Mytilus edulis: one gene and its partner. The protein of the gene in region 2 interacts with the protein of the main gene of each other region in a biochemical or structural test. Links are inferred from orthologs where the notes say so. Each region holds a gene or a part of one and is shown on either strand. Other genes may lie near its edges.

Region 1 (3,761 bases), on a different chromosome or scaffold from region 2:
GTTTGTTGTTTTAAAATGGTTTTTTTTCTTCACAAGAAACTTGGTTTAGTGTAACTGCTTGTTTAAACTGTATTTTGACTGATAAAATAAATTATTTTTCCTACCTACCGACCCTTCAGTCTGAAGGTACAGTCGGAAAACTGCAAACAAACATATTTTTAAGGTTGGCCTTACCGCAATGTTAAACAACTTAACATATACTCTGACAGCCAATCCGCCATAGGCATTATAACCTTAAATTGGAAATCAGAAAACTATCACAAAACCATACAAGAAATCAAAAACAGGAAAATAAAATTGGAACAAAAGGGTTTTAGTATCAACATCATTTGGACACCTGGGCACTCTGATATAGAGGGAAATGAACAGGCTGACCGTCTAGCAAAAGCAGCGGCAAAAGAGGCAGATAATAGGGAGGAAATGTCTTCAATCACGACAAAACAAGACATCAAACAAGCGGCGAGAACGTCAGTCATTCAAAAATGGAAGACACAATGGGAATCTAGTGAGGTTGGGAGAAGATTTTTTAATCATCACCCAGATGCATCAAAAAGAATCAAACTAGACTTCCCATCAAAAAAACACTTCAATATACTAAACAGTCTCAGATCAGGATACTCCAAACTAAAGGGGTATCAACATTTCATTAACAGACATGTAGAAGACAACAAATGTACTTGCGGAGAAATAGAATCTGTAGAACATTTTTTATTATCTTGTGACAATTACAGTTTGGATAGAGAAAAACTCCGCCAGTCAATATATTTCAAAACAGGAACACTTAATCTAGATCTAGAAGAATTACTTAACACAGAAGCCAGTGCAGACATACAATATGCAGTTTCCAAGTTTATAGACGATACTAGAAGATTTGATCATTTGTTTTTATAAATCAGTATCAACAGCGCCTACCTAAATTAAAGTGAAAGTACAAAGAGAAAATACAAACGTGATTAATGTATCCAAACGCGCAAGTCACCAAAGTACATATGAGAAAATCAGTGTCAAGATGACGCATACTAAAGACTAAAGACTAACAACAGAACCAAAATCGGCAACGTTACAGTATTTCCAATTCTTTTTTTAAATAAATATTTAAATTATAAAAAATAATTCATAGACTTCGTCCTCATTTACAGGTAATGCCTGCCTCATATTAGTTTTAAAATATTGGTTCTTGCTCCTATTTTGACTGGAATTTGAAATATTTTAATTCCAGTCAAAATAAGAGCAAGAACTGATATTTTAAAATTATTATTTACAATTTACATTGTATTAAAATAAAGTTTTACAAAGAGGAAAGTGTACCATTGCTATTCTTTAACAACTAAAACTGCAATGAAAAGGAAGAAAATAAAACAATTTCACTGGAGTCCAGCTCCAGGTTTGCTCTCCAAGGTATTTGTGTAAATACACAAGAAATGATGACGTCAGGTAATTTTTTTCGGGAGAATTACTTGACTCATTAAATTTTCAATTGAATTATGTTTATCTGTTTATTGACAATCAGGTATCGAATAGTATAAAATAAAATTGTAAATTCGAACTCAAATTTTGGTGTATCTATTCTATAATTTCCTAATTCAATTAATAATGATTTCTAATAAAGACTCCCGGCGTTGAACTCTTTTGCATGAAGACACAAAAATGGCATCAAAAGAAGAAAAGCCGCTGTGTAAATTTGGAGCTAATTGTTATAGAAAGAACCAACAACATATACAAAATTACAGACATCCGAAGAGAAAAAACGATTCTGTATACAAAATTATACAATCTTGATTTTATATTTATTTACTTTTACGATTGCTGTAAAACTGCTTTCCTTTTAATTTAAGGTGCCCGCCAAAATTGGCAAAAATCGGTATCAAGACGTTTCGGCCATGGGACCGGTTCGGCAATGGTCGTTTCGGGCAGATACACTTCGGACATATAATGAAAACTGGAGATTTTCACCCTCCCACACACATATCTAGTTGCCAGACCGGAGTTTAAAATAATATAAGCAGGCATTACCTTATAGTCGCCGTCATGTAAAATTGGCACCATGTTTTTGTCAAAATGTTCTTAAATATCGACCGTGTTTACTAAAGATGATGTTTTTCAAGTAGTGGAATCAAATATCATTCCAAAAATCAACTACTGTCCTACCTTTTATTGTGTTTGCACTGCATAATCCTGACCTTCACATAATCCTAGATTAATTTGTATGGTGGAATCCGACATTGTTATTACCGGAAGTGTTGCTGTGGAGTTCCACGTGCTCTCCATTTTCTTGTGTCTCTCATAGCTTTTCGTCATCTTTACGTAAAAAGCACGGGAAATTGTATCATCAATGACAATGATATTACCGGAGAGTAACAAATGTTATGTACAATGTAATAAGGGACCCTCATAGAAACCAAGATGGCGGTTATAGAATGTAAATAATCTTGAAAAATGTGAAGGTCAGGATTATACAGTGCAAACACAATAAAAGGTAGGACAGTAGTGGATATTTGGACAGGATTTTACTTCCGCTAAAAGAAAAACATCATCTTGATCGAGTAAACGCGGCTGATATTTAAAATTTTTTTAACAAATAACATGGTGCCAATTTAACGTGACGGCGACTATAGTCCGAGATGACGTCCAACGGCTGTTTTGCCAGACAAGCTGGGCCGTGGGACGTCAGAGCTTGTCCCTTATCAAAAAAGTGGATATTTGCCCACCCAAAATAGATGCGCTGCTTCGTCGCTTCTGGTGCCGATTGAGGGCCTTGGAATTATATAAATCAGGCATCAATCTGTTCATTTTTCATTTATCTCTTCATTTATGTAAGTTTCACCTACCTGCCAACCTTTATTTTTCCATATTTTAACAGTTTTCACAGAGACCCATCGATTTTCTGCATTTTGACTTTTTTCCCCCCCGATTTTTTTTTTTCTTTATTGATTTTTCTACTGTTATTGGGGACTTTATCCCCATATAATTGGTAATTAGTGGGCCTCTGTACTCAGTCTAGGCTAGAGGTGTCAGAGTCCACCAATTACAAATCCCTATCTGTTCAACCAAATTTTGCAATTTTCACAGCTATCTAAATATTTCACCTTAAGTTTAACTTCATAGAAACCAGGTATATCCTGAATTGTACATGTATCACCTTTCTACATGCCAATTTTCAACCCACATGACCCATGTTTAAAATAAATTTGAGAAAGAATTGCCTTTGGGAAAAGAACTACTCCAAAAATAACCCCTGGTTTTCTGGAAATCTTAAATTTGTATACTATGTAGCACATTAATCCTGATTTTTTAATGCAAACTCATAGACAAGTGAATTTGGCTGAAAATGGTCTAAATATTTTTCTCTTTCCCCATAAGTCTAACTTCTGCTAATTTGTTGGTTTGTTTAAGTTAACAATTGTGCAAAATTTATCTTTAACAGGGCTCACACTACTTCAGAATTATAGGGAGAAGTGACTTCTCTTTTTGAAACTGATAGGGAGAAGTGGTGAGATTTGAAAGAGAAGTGCTCATTCACGCAGTGCACTACAATGTTTGGATTTTACAATAGTATAAAGGGCCATATGTAAATAATGTTCTTTTTATATTGTTCAATTCATATCTGAGTAAAAAAAATACAATTAAAGTAACATTTGAAATTAAAAGTTGTTTAAGTTTTACTAAGGTTCTTGTGAGAAACTACCAACTAAATATCTAGCACTAAAAAAAAAAAAAATATTTTAAAAAATGTAAAGAAATTATAATATATCAATTACAAT
Region 2 (3,761 bases):
TTTAAATGTTACTTAGGTTTTGGTGTTGTTCAGTCTTTAGTTTTCTATGTTTTGTATTGTGTTCGATTGTTTGTCTGCTGGTCTTTTTTTCCCCTTCTTTTTCCCATGGCATTGTCAGTATATTTTCGACTTATGAGAGTTTAAATGTCCCTCTGGTATCTTTCTCCTTTCTTTTAAATATAACTGAAAATATGATGAAATTAGATACACCTTAATGCTTTTGACAACAATATTCACTAAACTGTACTGAACATTATACGAAGTTGTATAATAACCAATTCATTTAGTTTGAACTAATAATAATGATAAACTAGATTTGTAACATTCTTGAGAGAAAAATAGAACAATGTAATCAATAGAGGATAAAAAAGGAATACATTTACTTTAAACATTGTACTTAACTATAATACATGTAATAGTTTATATGTTCTTACTCTGAACTTGTTATACTTGTAGTAACTTTGAACTTTAATATTACTTTATACAATAATAGTTACATTTAGTTTGTTCTGTCATGTCTGTAGAAGTAATATTTTGTTTGGTCTACAAATAGTTTGAAATTGATAGGAACATTTACTTTGTACAATAATATATTTTTTTATTTCGACTCACAGATGGTTTCTTTAAATTGAAAGCATCAGTAATACTTTCATTTTTATCATCAGAGTATTTTGTCCAGGTAGATTTGTCTCCTTCCCATTCCCATCTCACTGTTACACCATCAATTTGTGATCCAATTGCAAGTTTTGATTTCTTTGTTGGTACTGTATCTCCACTGCCATCTTCAGTTGTATCTGTAGTGGAATGAAAAATATGAAAAATGATTAATCAAGATTGAACGCTAAAGTTAACCAATTTCGATAACTTATCGACTCGTAGGAGTCGATATTTGCAACTTTTTTATTCTGGTCAATTATTTCTTGCTTAACAATATTTGACTTATTAAAGTCGTATTTTGTCTTGCATTAAAGGGAGACAAATCCTAAAACTTACAAATTTAAACCTCTATGAGTCAAAAGCAGATTCAAACTTATTTATGTCTGAGCTCTGACTTATAATTAGCAAGTTTTCATTAATTAATTAAAATCAGCTCTTTTTATTTTAACTCATACTTCTACCAAATTGTACCCAATATTTTTAAACATTATAATGCTTCATCTTTTATTATTTTGTAGTTGATCTACTAATATGATTTACATTTAAAAAAAAAATCCTCAAGTTTGCACGATCCATAGATTATTTGAAAAGGATATTTTACAGAATATTGCCTTGGACATGTCTTTTAATCAGCCGACGGACATGACGGACCCGTTCAACAACCATACATGCGGATAAGCTGACTTGCAGTTATTTCCCCGTGCTATATATATAGAATAATACATGACAAAATCTGTATCGCATGCTGTATCATCATGAGAAACCAATATCAGTCCCGAGGGTTTATATTGGTCGAGTGGTGATACAGCATGCGATACGGATTTTGCCATGTATTATTCTGTTTACATGGTTTATCATATATTTTTACAGAATCAGATTCATGCAATATCCGTTTTTTTTAAATCGTCCGAAAATATAAGGAAGAAAAGAACATTATGATTTTCCTATTTTTTCAGCTGCCTTTTTCTTTTACAGTTTTTACAGCCATTTCTACATCTTATTGTATTTATTTTTTATGAAAATCCCTAGTAAAGTTACTGGGTAATGATTTTTTTTTAAATATCGATTTAAGTTGAAATGATATGACATTTTCTTTAGTAGGAACAGCAACTGGACGTCATAGGTCAAACATTGATGTCATTCGAATTGTGACGTCATGCCAGGTATGTGATACGGGGTATGCGATACGGGTTTAGCCATGTGATACGGGGTATGCGATACAGGGTAGGTGATACAGACTGGAAAAAAGAACCTTTATTAGATATACAAAATTGTTGTATTTTGTACTAAACATATGATATATAATGATATTATATGAAAGAAAGTTACAACAACTATGTATGTAAATAATATCAAATAAATCATGGGTACCATTTTGGTTGAGTATTAGTTGCTGAAAGAATGAGTTGTTTTGTACCTGATTTTAGCTGTGTAACTGGAAGAACCATGTCAAATTTATGAAACACATGTGTTTGTTTATTTTGCTACATAATCTAGACTTATGCAGACTAAAAAAATGCACATCAAATTCCAGACAACTCTTTAACATAACCTACGTATAAATTAAGCTAGATGTAGGTCCTGCCCTTCCTTTAAACTTTCCTAAATGTATAAGTTTGTCTGTATTTATAGAAGATATAAACAAAAATCGACTTTTTGTGGTGTAAATACTGCCATCACTGATGAACCTTAAAGCAAATCACTGTGACATGCATTGGATATAGCTGACAATTACTTGTTGAATGTCTTTTTCTCACCTGTTTTCTTCCTTCTTGGCATTTTAATTTGTATAACACTGCTAATTTCTTTTTTGATGACGGTAGGATTTTCTGTTTTGAAAGATTACGCTTGATGAACTATTTATAGAAATGATAATTTTATGAAACGAATTTCTACGATATGAACGCGGACCTAAATGAAAACATCTTTATTCGGCACGTGCCCGATTGGAAACAATTACTACGCCCTACTGTGTTTGTCAATGTTTAATAAAAACAACTATACAAACATAAAGCTAGAGGCATGTAACATCATATGGGTCTCTTAAAACTAAATTCAAGAGTCTTTCAGAGGCGGATATGGGGGGGGGGGGGGGGGGGGCAGGGGGCTCGGGCCCCCCCTTTTTGGGAAAAAAATTGGTTGCTTATATAGGTAATTATTGAAGCGTGACTGGAGCGGGCCCCTTCTTAGGTCAGTCAGTGGGCCCCCACTTATGAAAATTTCTGGATCCGCCACTGTCTTTGACTTGCTTCTGAAAAAAAAACATAAAGAAAATCATTCTAAATAGTTTTATCAAGAGTTTTTACAGTTTTTTTTTAAAGTGATTTATCAAGGATTTATATATATACTGTTTCTATATTGATACAGACAAGTATATTTTACTGCAAATGCAACATTCTTATTCAGTTCTCTAGTAATTATCTCCCTTTGTATATCAAGGATTTGTAAGGTATAATTGAATGAATGACAGAATTTCATATGCGTAAGAAAAGATCTCTTTTTATTAAATTAAAACTATACAGTTTTTCAGTACTATATAATCAGTAGAATTGGTAAGAGATATAACATGTATAATTTATTGGTAATATTTGCAAAGATCGACACACAACTATTTCCTAGAAAATCATCTGTCATACTGTTCGTATTTTCTTTTTATACTGAATTCTTCAATAATTGTCGACCTTGCTAGATCCTTATAGTGCGTTTCAAAGTTATCAAAAAAAAAGAGGAAAAAAAAGAGGAAAAATCATCATAAATACTTATATAAGCCACCTTTTATATTTTTTTCTAATGCTTTGAAATAATATACATATCAAATTATGGGTTTTGACCAATTCCAGTCTGATTAAATAATTTTAAAATTTTAAATTTCAAAAAATAAAAAAAAGAAAAGAATGTAAAGCATTGAAGGCATGTATGAATGTAAGACACATTATAAACGATCATAAACAGGTATCATGGTCTGGTGTATGATAAAATCCTGAGCCCAGCTGGATAGGAATAGGTATTTTTTTTAGTGCTGGGTTTTAAATATTGCTTCTTAAAAGGTTGAACTAAATTCTAATATGACGTGCTTCTTTCGCTTTGTGAACAAATCTATGCTC

The links. The genes of interacting proteins can lie anywhere in the genome.
Region 1: the proteins of poly [ADP-ribose] polymerase 2-like (region 2) and histone PARylation factor 1-like form a complex in vitro, tested with the Homo sapiens proteins (2 studies listed by BioGRID). The link is inferred for Mytilus edulis from reciprocal best matches to the Homo sapiens genes PARP2 and HPF1.

What each region holds. Positions count from the first base shown.
Region 1 is NC_092351.1:3,002,565-3,006,325, reverse strand, and holds the start of histone PARylation factor 1-like, read left to right. Parts: upstream 1-1,602; 5' UTR 1,603-1,647; coding exon 1,648-1,755; intron 1,756-3,761. Other genes in the region: chromosome-associated kinesin KIF4A-like, read right to left, coding at 1,309-1,311. UniProt on the Homo sapiens protein: Cofactor for serine ADP-ribosylation that confers serine specificity on PARP1 and PARP2 and plays a key role in DNA damage response.
Region 2 is NC_092348.1:64,697,601-64,701,361, forward strand, and holds the start of poly [ADP-ribose] polymerase 2-like, read right to left. Parts: upstream 2,546-3,761; 5' UTR 2,437-2,545; coding exon 2,415-2,436; exon of another isoform or gene 2,393-2,414; intron 795-2,392; coding exon 613-794; intron 1-612. UniProt on the Homo sapiens protein: Poly-ADP-ribosyltransferase that mediates poly-ADP-ribosylation of proteins and plays a key role in DNA repair.